2 linked regions of the Alligator mississippiensis genome follow. The protein of the gene in region 1 interacts with the protein of each later gene in a biochemical or structural test. Links are inferred from orthologs where the notes say so. Each region holds a gene or a part of one and is shown on either strand. Other genes may lie near its edges.

What was found. The genes of interacting proteins can lie anywhere in the genome.
Region 2: the proteins of F5 (region 1) and PROS1 form a complex in vitro, tested with the Homo sapiens proteins (2 studies listed by BioGRID). The link is inferred for Alligator mississippiensis from reciprocal best matches to the Homo sapiens genes F5 and PROS1.

Annotation. Positions count from the first base shown.
Region 1 is NC_081824.1:247,133,014-247,140,960, reverse strand, and holds the start of F5 (coagulation factor V), read left to right. Parts: upstream 1-4,776; 5' UTR 4,777-5,069; coding exon 5,070-5,230; intron 5,231-7,947. UniProt on the Homo sapiens protein: Central regulator of hemostasis. It serves as a critical cofactor for the prothrombinase activity of factor Xa that results in the activation of prothrombin to thrombin.
Region 2 is NC_081824.1:254,487,724-254,495,644, reverse strand, and holds the start of PROS1 (vitamin K-dependent protein S), read right to left. Parts: upstream 3,406-7,921; 5' UTR 3,252-3,405; coding exon 3,188-3,251; intron 1-3,187. UniProt on the Homo sapiens protein: Anticoagulant plasma protein; it is a cofactor to activated protein C in the degradation of coagulation factors Va and VIIIa. It helps to prevent coagulation and stimulating fibrinolysis.

The DNA of each region.
Region 1 (7,947 bases):
TGCAAATATAATAAAGTCTAAACTGGTAACATTAAGTCTTGTGCTTTATTTAACAGGTCCAGTTTCACAGCTGAAAACGACTGAGCTGAATCAGCAAAGAGAAAGGAATTTAAACAGAAAAATGTGAATGTTGAATGGGGAATGTTTAAGTATGTGCTAGCAAATATACATGCTGTAATCAAAGAAGAAGGCTACACTCGCCTAAAAAAAATCATTCTGGCTATTAAAAAAAAAACAACCAACAAAACAAAACAGCCACTCCCTCTTCCCCCTTCCTCCAACCTATAAATAACTTAACAGTTAAAAAAAAGTTGTTGACAATAAATAGAAATTAGATGCTAAGAACTATAGAAAATGAATAAGAGAAATAAACTCATGGTTAGAACAAATAAGAATACTGAGGAGTTCAAGTATATCTGGGATAAAATGGTAGAATTACCAAAACCAATGCAGAATGTTCAATAAATATTTCTATTCTGCATGGAGGGGGGAATCCAGATGATGCATCCATATTGTGAGAAAATAATTTCCCTTGTAGCAGTAACTAAGGAGACTGTTTGTTTGTTTTCCAATATCTACTCAAGTTAGACATCTGTTAAATAAGGAAGTCTGGATAACTTGCATGCAACAATTTTTAAATGATCTAACCATGAATACCTATTTTCAATCAATCTTGAAACACTGATGACGTTTCAGAAGACTAGATGAAAATTAATGTTGGGCTAGCATTAAGGAGGAAGTGAAATATCCTGGATAATCATAGACTTTGTCAGCCTGACACTGATCTCAGGGGAAAATCCTGGAATGTCTGATACAGGATTTGATTAATCAAAAAGTAAACTAGGATAATTACAGTCATTTAATATCAATTTATGGAAAATAGATCCTGCTTAACTTGACAGCTTTTTCAATGAGTTAACAAACTGTGTTGATAGAAATAATAGGATTGATGCAATATACTTCTTCAAGTTGTTTGACTTGTTACAACATGATATTTTAATTAAGAAAGTAGAATAATATGTTTAATGCGCATTAGTTTTGTTTTTTTTTTTGAGGGGGGGAGGGTCTGGATTTAACTGCCTTACTGATTGGTCTTGACATAAAATTGTAAACAGAAATTGTAAATCATCAGCAAGTGAGGGTGTTTCTATTGGGCTCTTTCAAGGGTTAGTTCTTGGCCCAGTGTCATTTAACATTTTTTATCAGTGATCTGGAGAACATAAAATCACTGTAGATTAAAAGAAGGTTAGAGAAGTGGGAAATAATGATGTGAAAACACTGATACAAAGTGACTTGGTTTGTTTAAAATGGTTGTAAGCAAATGTGTTTCATGATGGCCAAATGTAAGGTCATGCATGCACAAATGAGCGTAGTCCTGATTTACATGATTAAGCGGTCTTGGCCTGGGATGAGATGACGGAAAAAGATTTGGGATGATGATTGATAATCAGTTGGAGAGAGGTACTAGTCTGAAGTCAGTCAAAATGCAGGGTAGATGTTCTGTTGAACGTAACTTCCATGGTATGACATTGGGGTTAAAAGGGCTGATGAGATCATGGAACATGTAGATAATAGAAACTCAAGTAGAAGTAGAGCACTTCTATTGCCTCTTTATTTGATACTAGTATGACTTTTACCAGAGATGGGAGAAAGTTCAGAGGGGAGCCATAAGAAGGATGAATGGTTTGGGGAAAACATTTGGCCTGTGCAAAGTGGCTAGTATTCGGATTCAGCCGATTTGGGGGACAGTGATTCAATTCGGTGATTCGAATCACTGTCCTGAATCCATTCAGTCAAATCTGATTCGGAGATTCAGCTACTTCCAAATCAGTGGAACCTTGGAATCACACAGGCCTCATCCCCTGCCCACCCCAGCTCCTGGCTCTTTGGGGGTGGGGAAATGCCTGGCACTCACCGGCTGCTGCCCAGCGGGGGGGCAGTCCCCACAACCCCTCCCCCCACTGCCCTGCACCATGTGGGGGGCTCTACCATGAGCCCCCTGACCCCTACCCACTCTTCCAGCCCCCTCATGGCAGAGCCCCCCATGTGGCATGGGGCTGTTGAGGGCAGCGGGGATAGCCCCCTGCCTGGTAGCACCCAGTGACTAGGGTTGGTTGGTTTTTTTTTAAACAACTGGGAGCTGGGGTGTGTGGGGCAGCCATTGGTGGTGGGGGGGAGGGGGAGGCTGGGAGAGCAGGCGGGGGTCAGGGGGTGCTCGGGGGGGCTGGGGGAGCAGACAAAGGATGGGGCCTGGCCTGGGTCCCCCCATGGTCCCCTCCCCCCTCCTCCAGCCCCCGCCACCCCCTACTTACCAGCATGGAGTCCAGGTCCAGCTCCCTGCTGCAGCCAGCAGGGACTACCCAAATCGCCGAAGCTCTGTGAATCTTTTCCGAATCGATTCAGACCTTTTAACTGATCCCCTGATTTGATTCAGCGATTCAGCCACTGAATCAAGCCAAATCTCCTCCAGATTGAATCAGCACCTGAAGCTTTGCACAGCCCTAGAAAACATGTCTTATTGTGAAGGACTCAGTCTACCTAGTTCATCCAAGAAAAGGTTATGGGATGGCTTGTTGAGTATGCAAATATCTACATGGGTGCAGAAATTTGATAGTGGTGTATTCAGCCTAGCAGGCAAAGCTGTAGCAAAGTTTGGAAATACCCATATTAGGAAGAAATTTGTAAAAGTTGGCACTTCAGTCTCAAAGAAAATCATTGCCAGATCTAACAATTAGAAGTTGAAGCTAGAGATGAGTCAGATTAATTCCAGACATGACACACGCGAGAGGTGCTATATATTTTGCAAACTAGGAACAAGACATGCTGATTCAGCTATAGGGACACTTTTGGATGATTTACGCCAGTAGTGACAAGGAACAGAACAGTGTCCTGCAGCCCACCTCTGGAACAGTGGTGCTGCAAGTTCTGAGACTAGAAGGTTATGCAGTGGGTTGTTTCCTCTTGGCCAGAAAGTATTTCTCTCCAAATTCAGAGGTTCAGCAGTTATTACTTGACCCATAAGGGTATTGAATGAATACCCTCTGGCATTGGAATTAAGAGCTTTAAGGCTAGTCTGTTAGCAAGATGCTGAGGTTGGACTAGAAATTAGGTGCATGATGTTAATGAGGGTAAATACCCTTTGGAAAGAATTGTAGGGGATGCAAGTGCCTTCTAAACTGTACACTTTGGTCCAACCACAGATGTTGGACTTGAAGCAAATATTAATTTAGAGAAGGGCCCAGTTTACACAGGAGACCCAACCTAGATCATTATGGAACTTTCTGGCTTTAAAATCTACAAAAGCCCTGGGGATAGAAGATAGCCATGCACAGAACAGAAACAGCATGGACAAGTTCCCCCTGTGCAGTCCTGCAAATATACCCCAAAGGAAGAATTGCTCTGCCTTAGTTGGCAAGTAATTTGGAGAAATTAAAATTTTGTTTTTGTTTTAGTGTGTTTACTTTTTTTTATAAAGGGCACATTTCAGTAAACCTTTTTTGATTGTTTAAGCAGTGACTTGATAATGTTTTACCAAAATCTTAGTTCTACACAAAAAGATTACAATGTTTCTATTTTATGTTCTCAGTAAAATAAATGTACATCAAAGAAGGCATGAAAATGTTAATGACTGAATTTGAAAAAGTCAACAAAAATTGCCATAGGAAGAATTTAATTCAAACATTTTTGACTGGTCCTACTTACAGGTGGGCCAGGAGTCTGAGTAGGTGAGGGAAGGAGTTATATATCCCTGGCTTATTCGGATCTGTCTGGTTGGCTTTCAGGAAGATGGTCCACAGTGCCAGTTATCCCTTGATGTGGACTCTCTGTACTGGGAACTAAAGTGAAGCCTATAATTTCCTTCCCACAGGCCACCAAACTGGTCATGAAGTAACAGCTTTCAGCAACTACAAATCTAGGTTGAATTTGCATCATGATTTAGTGGTTCAAGGCTCTGTGGCTATGAGCAGTTCCCAGACCCTTCAAATGCCCACCCTGCTGGGGATAAAGGGTCTTCCTCTCTCCTCTGGAGATTGGGGTGATCCCTTGGGTGCTAGGAAATTTTCATCTCTCTAGCTGGAACACTCACCAGGGCCAGCCCTAAGATGTGGTCCAGTTTTCCTGGTCAAACTGGAGAATGTTTCTGCATGCTTCCTAACCCTACACTTCAACCAAATGGGCAAAGTAGAGAGTCGAAAAGCTCAGTGTTGAATCAACTCAATCTTCTCAGGCTAGTCTAAGCTGAGTATATTGAACCAATAAACAAGTGAACAGGCATTCACTTTTGATTCCAAAATGCAGCCATATATCTGCAGTGGCCCAGGTCAAAAGCTGGGGGGTGCTAAAGCACACCACCTTGTTCTGTTGGAGCAGACAGCTTGGGCCAAGGCTAGCCTGCCCACTGTGTGAAAGGAGGTTGGCAGGGGAGGTGCAAAGCATCCTGGGATGCTGGGGGACTGTGAGCTACCTTGAATCTGGAGGGCATCTGTGGCAGAAGTTCAATAAACTGATTTAACCTAAATCAGTTAAGTCTGATACTACATCCATCCAGTTTATCTTAAACCAGTTTTGGCCACTTTGAAAGCAGTTTATGTGCGCTGAACTTCTGTTATGTTACAGATTTCAACTGGTTTCTAATCACTTATACAAGTTTAAATGTATAATAAGTATATTGCTTATACCTGTTTATGTGCAATTCTGTCCCTAGCCATAAACATTGGCTTTCTGGCTTGCTTCTTCTAACACCCTCCTGCCCTAGTAAATGACTACCCTGTGAACATTTTATGCTGTCTTGTAGGGTTCAGGCTACTTTTCTACAGGGAAGATATGAGGGGGTGCTCACTTGAAAATCAGCCTGAAGAACTGTTTATCTCCACTAATGATTCCCATCAGCGGGAGGAGGGGGAGGAGGAGGTGAAGAGCAGTGACCTGGGCGTTGCAAATACTACTACTCTTGCATCACTAACCACAGTGAATGCATTTCCTAGTCGGGAAGTTCTGAGAAGCAACCACAAAAACAGCAGCCACTGCCTGATGCATCTCCCAGAGCAGCATCAGGAGCAGCTTGCACCATGACAAACAGCTGCAATCACCTCCTCCTCTGGATGCTACTGGGTGTGTGGTGGCTGAGTCTGGAGCAGTGTGTGGTGAGAGCAGGTCGGATCAGGGAGCATTACATAGCAGCACAGATCACCAGCTGGAGCTACAGACCAGAACCTAAGGAAGAGACCAGGTAACAAACAGTGCAGGAAGAAGAGGGGTGTATCTACCCTCTTCTTGTAACTGATGGGGATTTGAGTCTCTTAAGGACTTAACACTTGATGGGGCTAAAAACCAGGTCTACCCCCCCCAAGTCAATAGGAATCTTTCCATTGACTCCAGCTTGGATCAGGCCTTTAATGTAGTACTGTGTTTTGAGGTAATTTTTACCTATCCAAATAGACAGGTGTGATATCCACCCCCCACCTCCCCCAGTTCTTTGGGCAGTTTTTAATGATACTTCATTAACAAAGTCAATCCTGAGCTTAAGTAGGCTTGAGCATGCTCTGATGGTCTCTGAAATGCAAAACTAGAACTCTTGGTTCAGAGATGATACCTTTTATTAGACCAACTAAGGAATCACAAAAAAATATATATTTTTCTTTGTGCACTCCAAGCCTCTGTGGGAATCATGCTTGCATAGTGCTGCCAATTCTTGCTGTTCTTTCCTGAGACTTCTGATATTTGATGCTTTTCTTTTACAGTGCCAGCTCCTGGAGCTAGTGATAGAAATCAGAATCTCCACTTTTGTTCCAAACAAAACAAAAAATGTAGTTCTCCTCATTAAAAGCTTAAACATCAGGAGGCAAATCAAAAAGAACACCATGAGAACATCACAAGATTTTTTAATGATTTTGTTTGACAGTTTTGCTTTTATGCCATGAGTGCAGCTTGGTGGGTTTGAAAGGATTATGAAATCACATGGGGTCTACAAATTGTGGAGGTAATATAGAGCCTTTCAGTTTTATTCTTCCACTGCAATCTAATTGAGGACCTTTGCCAAAGTCCCTTGACTTCAACAGACCTTAGTCCAAACCTATAGTGAGCAAAAGCTAGGGTTGTTTCTAGACAGCTTTTTGGTAACCTTTATAAAATGCTTTATGTGAGAGTTTGGGTGAGCAGAGATTACAGAGTCAAATGTTTGCTTGGATCCTTTTCCAGCAAAATGTATTAAGCTGGTGTTACTTTTACTCCTCATTTTAGATTGAATTGCAAAATGATTGGCCTACACATGCAAAATATACTCTGAAAATCATAGCCTATTAGTGTCCTTGTATATCACTAGCAGAATGAACAGGACTAGAGCAGCTATGAGCCTAAAGCCAAAACGCAGGTTTATTTAAAAACAAAAGAAAACGAAAAAAACTCTGCTGGCTTCTAGAGTTGTGCAAGGCTTTGGACTCTGCTTCAGATCTGGAGAAGCTTCGTATGCTTCTGCGTCTGAAGCAGCATGTCTGGATCGAAGTGCTGACTTCGTTAGGCTTTCCAAAGTGGTTCAGAGCCGCTTCGGAGATCCGGCCATAGGGTTTAATGGGGGGATCATTGAAATATCTACAACTTTGTTGTTTTTTGTCTGATTTGGATGACATTTGCAGGGGTGGTAGCCTCTGCTGAGAGCATGAGGCCTGCCAATTTCAAGAAGATTGGTATAGGGGTTTGGGAGGAACTGCACCCCAAATTCTTGAAAGCAAAACTCGCATCACATCTATGTGTTACAACACGGGGGGGGGGGGGGGGGGGTAAAAACTGCAGGGGTGGTAGTGCCTGGTGAGGCCACAAAGCCTGCCAAGTTTCAAGAAGATTGGTGCAGAGGTTTGGGGGGAACTGCCCCTCAAGCTTTTGACAGGCAAAACTTGTGACTTAGATGGCCCTGTGTGTGTTAAGGCACAGCAGGGTGAAAGCTGCAGGGGTGGTGGCCCCTGCTGCGGCCACGAAGCCTGCTAGCTGTCGAGGAGATCGGTGCAGGGGGGTTCTGGGGCCCTGCACCCCTAGCTGCTGACAGGCAAAACTCATGACATGGGTGCTTGTGCAACTGACTGTGTCTGTCTTGGGGGGAACTACTGCAGGCCTGGCTGCTAAGCTACTGTGTTACCAGTTACCAATCAATCATGATTCACTGTGGGACCTGCTCAATACACGGTTGCTAGCTAATGTAGCCCGTTAATTAGCAACAATTAACACCTACAAAACCCCACACTAAGGAGAGGAAAGAATCAATATGATCAACTGCCCCAAGATACAGACAGTCAGTTGCACAAGCACCCATGGCACAAGTTTTGTCTGTTAGCAACTAGGGGTGCAAGGCCCCAGAACCCAGAAGCCCTTCATCAGTCTCCCCAACAGCTGGCAGGCTTCGTGGCTGCAGCAGAGGCCACCATCCCTGCAGTTTTCACCCCCCTGTGGTGTAACACATACACCTGACATGAGTTTGCTTTCAAGAATTTGCAGTGCAGTTCCCCCCAAACCCCTGCACCCATCTCCTTGAAACTTGGCAAACTTTGTGGCCTCACCAGGGGCCACCACCCCTGCAAGTTTAATCCAAATCAAACAAAAAACAATGAAGTTATAAATATTTCATTGATTCCCCATTATACACTATGGCCGGATCTCCGAGGCAGCTTCAGAGCCGCTTTGGCCGAATCGAAGCAGAAACCCGGTCTGGAGCTCCAGATTGGATCCCTGGCATCCGAAGCGGCCAGATCCGAAGCCAGATCAAATAGCTGCCTACTCGCACAGGCCTACTAGCTTCACTGAGACTTCTTCAAGGATTAGGATTGGAGAGCTAGTCTATATAGGTTCTTACACTGCTGTCTCATCACAGTAATATCTGTGCACCTTCTTATAGTGCATTAGGTGATGATATGCTGTATCATGTACTATTTGTTCTCTCCCTCTGGAGGGAAGAATTGT
Region 2 (7,921 bases), about 7.4 Mb from region 1:
CTCCCCTGGGGACAAGTCACTCCCCTTTTCCCCCTGCAGGGCTGGGTCAAGCTCCCCTCCTCCCCACCAGATGCAAGTCAAGTCCACCCCATCACCACAAGGGCCAAGTGAAGCTCCCTTAACCCCCTGCAAGGCGGGGTTCAGGCCAGGCTGACCCCTGCCCTCCACTGGCCTGTGGTCTGACCAGACACTGCCCATCTGGCCCATCAGGGAAAAATGTTGAGCACCACTGAACTAAGGGGTTCTTGATTAAACTAAAAGGTGGCACATTTAAGCTACATAATTAAAAGAGTTTTTTAAGGGTTGCAACCATTTCAAAGTGATGCCCACTATTACAGACAAAAATAGTTTGATTCAAAACAGATTCATCATTTACATGGATAAGAACAGCGGAACTGGTTACAATAAATACAGTAATGTTTGTTTGTTTGTTTTTAAGAGATCCATTCTCACGCTTCAGGGGCATAAATTAAGCACCAGCCACAATCTGTATGGGACCGTGTGTTCATTAGCCCTTTTTCTTAGCATTACTTGGCATGGTTAATTAGTCAGGGCAACAGCTAGGATACAGGACCAGCTGGAACAAAGGGGTCTGCACTGATTTGACAATTATTTTCAGATATAAATGTAATTGTTGATGGAAAAACGTGGCAGGAGAAATAATGAAGAAGGGAAACCAAAAGAAACAAAAAAAAAAGAAACATACAGAGGGAGGAAAATGATGGGGGTTTTTCCATGATCTACACAAAAATAAGTTAGGAAATGAACTTTCATCCTGCTTTACTGTCATTTTCACAGTCAGAAATCCTCTAGCATTTCAACTAAGGCTTAAATAGTAAACATTAGCTTTTCTTCTACAGGTTTAATCATTAGTAAAACAGGTCAAAACCAGGCTTACATTCTTTGCAGCTCTTATTTTGCTACTGCCACTAATTACTTCCCTTTCACCAAGCTGGCTGTTTCTAACACTGGACTCAGAATAAGAAGTGTAATTTTAAAATTCTGCCGTTTCTTAAAAACTCAAGATCTCACAAGAATACTCATTGGTAACAGCAAGTGCTCCTTATCTGTGCACGTCCAGACCTGCAGGCCCAACAAAAGACTCAGAGCTGAGTCTAGTGTTCAAACAGACGACACCAGTCTAACATTGCTACCCCTTAAATATTTTTTTCTTCATCCCACGTATAGGCGACTGGTAGGGGAATCACCGGGGGCGGGGAGAGGGGAAGCCACATGATCCCCCTGACAGGACCAGCCCTGCCACCAATGCCACCAGCGGTATCTGTGGGTGCTCGCCAGCTCCATACCTGCTTCTGCGGGTGCCCCCCCAGACTCAGGAGGCATCAGTTGCCCATGCCCCCACAGAAGTTGTGTGGACACCAGGCACATCTTTTCATTTCCCCTCATCTCACTTTATGTCTGCAACCAGATTAGCAGCCATGACCCTACCCAGCTGGAAAGCATCACCTAAGTATGCAGCTTTGGACTGGTGCAGTTCAGTCAACCCTCAGACAATAATTGCTCAAATGAAGAAAATAAATGAGTAGTAAATCTGAAGCACCAACATCCAAGTGCTTTTATATAGTTTTGTTTTTGATTTGGGGGTTTTTTATGGTCTCAAGTTATTTAGATTCAAGGCAGCCCTCTACAGAGTCAAGGCCCCCTTTGATAGACTCAGGGCACCTCTCAGAAAAGACCAGCCCTCCATTCTCAAAAAGAACAGAGTGATTCTTCTGTTGCGAAGAATTTGGAATAAAAAAAACAAAACATTATAGCACTTGGATGTTGCCATTTGCAATTCTTTGGTCACAACTCACATTATCCTTCAGACTCCCAATCTTGAGCAAGGGGTAAAGCTCAGTGACCTGCATTGTCGAGGCAGTTCTAGTGCCAGGAGAGCACATTTTAGCAGTTAAAACAGTGGTTCTCAACCTGTGTGGAATCAAGGCATCCCTCCACAAATCTGAGACACCTTTTGATAAGCTCAATGCGCCCCTCAGAAAATGCCAATTCTCGGTTCCTACCCCTTTTTGGACCGCAGAAAAATAAGAACATAAGAACTGCTGATGACTGCATCAGGCCACAGGTCAACCTTGCCCAGTGTAGTGTGTTGCACAGTGGCCCCAGCCCCAGACTCCTGTGTCACACAGTGCCCCAAGCGAAGCTGGCAGTATACCTGACCAGAAAGAAGGCTCTGGCTGGGAGGGCTCCTGGGGACGGCGGGGCTGCATTCATGTCCCTTGTGCACCCACATCTCTGGGCAGAGCTTCACTGGGCAGCATCCATGGGCTCCCTGGACTCATTCAAGGGCCAGTGGGTGCTGCCTGGTGTGCCCTGCTCTGTGCTTGAAGCCTATGACCTTGCGCCCCTGGTTTCTCTATAGGTCCCCCTCAAAATCAACTTGAGGTATGCCCAATAGTCTCCCCCTGATAGCAGGGTGTCCATGTGTGTGCCCCTGTGTCTGTGTGTGTCCATGTGTGTGCCCTTACCTGTGTGTGTCCCTGTGTCCATGTGTGTGCCCTGTGTGCCTGTGTACCCGTGTCTGTGACCCTGTCTCTGCGTGTGTACGTGTCCTGCCTGTGTGTCCATGTCCATGCGTGTACCCTGTGTGTCAGCGTGTCCCCATGTTCATGTATGTGTTCCTGTATGTCTGTCTGTGATTGTGTATCCCTGTGTGTGTCCCTGTCTCTATGCATGTGTTCATGTCCTGTCTGTGTGTGTCCCTGTGTCCATGTGTGTCCTGTGTTTGGAACTGTGTATCCCTGTGCGTGTGCCTGTGTGAGTCCTGTCTGTGTGTGTGTCCCTGCCTGTGTCCCCCATCTGTGTGTGTCAGTGTGTGTCCTTGTGTCCATGTGTGTGTCCCTGTCTGTCTGTCTGTGACTATGCATCCCTGTGTGTGTTCCTGTCTCTGTGCGTGTGTCCCTCCCTGTGCGTGTCCATGTCCATGTGTGTGTCCCCGTGCCCGTCTCTGTGCATGTCTATATCCCTGCCTGTGTGGGCCCGTGTGTGTGCGTGTGTCCCTACAGCTCCCAGCGGCCCTCGCCCGGGGGGCAGGGAGTGGAGGTGCCCCGTCCATGAGGCGGCCCAGAGGGGGCGCCCGGCGGCGCTGCGAGCGCGGGGCTGCCACAGGCCCCCAGTCCGCCCCCCCCCCTTGCTGCCCCTTGGGGCGCGGGAGCGCGGCACTCACAGACGCGGGCCTCGGCGAGCGCCAGAAGGACGAGCAGGCACCCGCCGCCCGCCAGCGGCCTCATGGCGGGGCCGCCCGGGCTGCTGCTGCCGCTGCTGCTGCTAGTGGTGGCTTCGCTCGCTCCGGCCTGGCCGAGTGCAGCCGCGGGCGGCGGCGGCGGGGGAGTGACCACGGGCGGGGCGCCACGGCCCCGCCACTGCCCGCCCGCCCGCCGCACCCCCCGCGTTGCGCCCGTCTTCAGCCTGGTGCGATTCGTCAGAGCAAACCGCGTTCAAACTCTGCCACCGCCTGTGAGGCAGCTCGTGGGTTTGAGGCATCAGCAGATGCAGAGCCCAAGCCGCTCTCGGGGAGCCTGAACCCCCTTTGGGGTTTGCTGGTTTTTTTCATTTCATTTGTAGTCCAGGCCAAATTAGCCCCAACTCATTCCAAATCCAAGAGTCCAGAACCGTAAGGGGCCCTGCTACTGGCAAACATCCGCCACCCACATCTGGGGCTTCAGATGTTTCCAAATCCTTTGGCTGGCATCCTAGTCGCCCTCAAGTTTTGCTTGCCCTCAGTCATAAGCAAGGGAGGAGACTCCCTTTTCCATCAACTGGGCTTAAAGCTGCGCACCTCGGTGAGTACTGAACCACACCAGAGGAGTGGTTCGGGAAAACTGCCTTCTTGCAGTTTTTCTTCGAGATACGTGGAACATATTGTCAGAAGTCAGGACCTAAATTCCACTTTCAGAATATGCTCACAGACAGGTAAAAACACAGACCTTGTTTGCACAGATGCATGGTATTTCCCCTGCCAAGTTAAGAAGCCACTGCGCTTGTCCTGAGTCTTCAGGAGGTCGAGAGCCCACTTTTGGGTTAGCTCTCAACGCAGTCTCAGGGCTGCTGGCCTCAAAACAGAGCAAGACTTCCACTTTGATGGCCCACTTCTCCCTCGCTCCAAACAGTTTCCAGTGAACGCTATAAAGTCAACAAGAAGATTTATTTGCAGCTGATGGGCATATTTTGTCAGCATACTGAAGTTTTTCAGCAAATTGATCATTTTAAACTTCCAATACAATAATTTCGTATTTAAGGCCTGGCAATGCTGTGCCTGCAGCTTTGCTCAGCCGGGCTGGAGCCAAGCAAAGCAAAGCAGCGACCTGCCCAGCTGTGGGCATAAATTAAGCACCTCTTAATTTATAGTGTTTAAATTTATAAAGCACCATAAATTAAGCAGGCCTCAGAGAGTGCCAGCTGAGGGGCACTGCTGGACTCCCTCCTGGCACTCTCTATGGCCTGCGCCTGAGTGACTTTCTCATTCCCGCCTCGTGGCCCCACCACCGCCTTGGAGCAGCAGGGCAGGGGCAAGAGCTGCAGGCCCAAGGGAGGGCGGATGAGACTGCTTGCCTCTAAGCTTCTCAGTCCACCTGCCTCCTAGTGTCCCCTGCAGTGCCGTAGCAAGGCAGGGCAAGCAGGGCTACCGCCCCAGGCGCCGAAGTGACGGGGTGCCAACAGGAGCTGCCCAGCCAGGGTGGGGCACAGGACAGAGCCATGAGTGGCTCATTTAGGGGGGCGTGGGGACAGGGGGGAGGGCAGATCCCACCGCCGCGTGCACCCCCGGGCAAGCATGGGGACTGTGTGCCCCCGGATCTGTGCATGGGGCAAGGACAGGCTGCCACTGTGGGCTTGTCCTGGGCACCAAAATTCCTTGCTATGGCACTGGTCGCCTGACCTGCTGGGTGACATTGCTAGCAGCATGGCTGGTACCCAGGCGGACAAGCAGGGCTAGGGTGTGGCCTGAGGGAGGGATGAGCTGTGGCAGGCTTCCCTGGATTTGGGCTCCAGAGCCCCTGTGTGAGAACAGATGAGTTTTTCTATCCCCCACAGAAGGTCCCCCCCAACCACTATCGCTCTTCTCTTCCTTCTTGGTGCACAGGCCTCAGAGCCTCTATCCCTAGGACACTGTACTTCCTGCTCTCCAGACTGCTGCATCCTTCAGCTCTAGCCTGCTGCTGTCCTGCCCTCTGCCTTTTCCTCCTCAGCCCTTCCACCACACAATGCTTGAAAGCAGTTGCTGACTTCAGGAGGTTTCTCTTGAATTCTGGGGACTCTCCTTCTTCCAGAAAAGTCATCTCTTCTTTTCCCTTGGGTCTCTCCAGCGCCAGCCCCTCATAACTCCTGTCCAAGAAACCTTCATTTTCCTTAATAGTGTGGACACCTGTGATTCCACCCTTTCAATCTTTTCCTCCAAGACAGACACCAGCTTATACTTAGTACAGATTAAGTGGTTTTAACCCTCTGGGACAGGGGTTGGTGACCCCCTGCAAAAGTGCCAGAGCATAGCACACAAAGACATTTTGTGCGGCACACATGCCTTGAGAAAGGGGCCAGGGCTGTGCTGCCACAACAAGGATCAGGTCCCTCACAGCTCCCCTGCCATCTGCCCCTGGCACACCAACATTTTACAAATCAAGGTTGTGTGGGTTTTGGCACTCTGCCTAAAAACGTTGCCAACCCCTGCTCTGGGAGGAACACAAACATGGCACTTTCCACACAAGTCACGACTGCTTGATCCAGTCTCCATTTATGGCTCCTTTGCTTTCTGGAGGACACCTGGGCTGTGAGAGAGAGAGAACAAACCAAAAAAAGATACCCAGCACATCTACTAATGGGCTGTGCAAGCTTCCTGCTCCCTGGCTCCCTCCTGTGGTTAACTCCTGGGGAAAATCACTTTCTGTTTACTCCTTTTGCTCTTTCTCAGCTGAGGACATACCATTTAATGGATGTCCTTAAAACCAGTTAAGTTATAAGTTGTAACTCGTCCTTGTAACTTGTCTTTTAGGGGAGACATCCATACTTGAGCACCTTGACTTCATGATAGCAGCCAATACATCACAGGATTTCTGAAGCCTGCCAGCCTAAACAGTGTGTGCCTGCTGGATGGCATCACTCCACCTGACATCATAAGAGCAGTGGCTAGTAGGACAGAAGGATGGAAACAAACTAAAAATGTGAGACACCCAATGTGTGACCATCCCTCAGCACATAAGTGTCTGAAGTCACACAGGAGCTTCCTCACTAGCACCCAACCTCTTGATGCCACACTCAAGGATACATGACTACAGATGCAGAATAAGAGGCTAACACTCTGTGTGAGCGTGTGATGCCTGGCACACATCTCCATGGCTGCTGCCACTTCCCCGTGCTACCTGATGCCCAGAGCAACACAGAAGGGGCAGGAGGAGGAGGAACCTCTGGAGGTGGTGGGAGCCAAGCAGTACCTGGGCTGGCCAGGAATGGGAGTACGTTGCAAGCTGCCCCAGATAGGAGCAGGCAGGGCTTAGCTCCATTGGAAGCACTGAGTGGGCAGCCACAGGCTGGATAGAGAGAGAGAGTGGGCCCCCACATGTGCCCCCTACTCATCTTCCCCCCACCCCTGGCCAGGTTACAGAACCTAGCACACAGGCAGCTCTCTGACACACACATGTGCGCACCTCCACAACACCCATCCCTCACACACACCCTCTACCCCCACAACCCTACACACAATATACAAAAATGAGACTTTTTTTAGTTGTTATGTAATCACCTCTATATGTACCACTCAATATACCTTAGGGAATAAGGACCAAGTATTTCTAAAAGAGTAAGGGAATTCTGTAGTCTTTACAGCAGGAATCTGCCTGATTGCTTGACAAAATAAAATAAATATGAAGCAGAAATGACCTAACAAAACCTGGCATGTTTGAATGTCACTTTATTGGAATTCCCAGATATTTCCCCTATGCCTGCTATAGCTTGTGTTTTGCTATACTAGAGAATCAAGTCATTTTCACAGATATTCAAAGTCTGCTTTGAAATAAAACTGAGTCAATACGGTCTTCAGTATAAGTGTGCTTACTCATAATTATATTAGCAGAAGAATTAGTAATTGTAGAAACCCAAAGCTTGCACTGATTAGTAACTTTTATCACTATTCAATTATTTTTTTTATTCTGTTCTACCTACTTTTCTAGAATGAAAGCATGTTTGAGTTTTCTTTCTCCAAAATGTTAGCAAAACAAGCTATCTATGTATTACATAAGTAGTTTTTTCCCTCTTCTTAAAGGTTTATTGGTAACTTCCCCATTGTACTTTCAGCTACAAACAGTGGACCTATGATGTTAACAGTATGACAGTATGTTAATGGTATGACAGTATAACAGTACGGCTAAAGTTATTTTAGAGCAGACAGGTCGAACAAATTTTAGGCATATAGCATCAGAGAAAAGTAGGGCCAGAAGGGGCCTTATGAAGAACAGGCAGGCAAGGTTCTTTGCATAGATGTGATAGCTTTTATTAGACCAACTGAGTAGTTGGAAAAAAGTTCTTGGCAAGCTTTGGGGTGCAATAACCCTTCTTCAGGTATAGTCCTTCTGCTGTTCTGAGAGTCCAAGGAATGAGAGAAGCTTAAAGTGTGGCAGGATATCAGTGAGAATATAAATAAATAGAAATTAGAAAGACAAAAGGTAAAGCAGAAAGGTAAAGCAGAGAGGGGAGGGGGACAAAAGCAGGGTCAGGAAAGCTAAAGGGAGACATTACAGTGATAGAATACAAGGTAGAAATGAGGCTATTTGCAAAAAAGGAAATAGTTGGAGACCAGGAAAACAGGAATGAAAACCTGCCCAAAGCCCAGGCTACTTGCAGCAGGCAGCCATGAGGCTGCAAACAGCTGCACTGGCATTCAGAGCCCCAGCCCACCTTGTTGCTGGCAGTG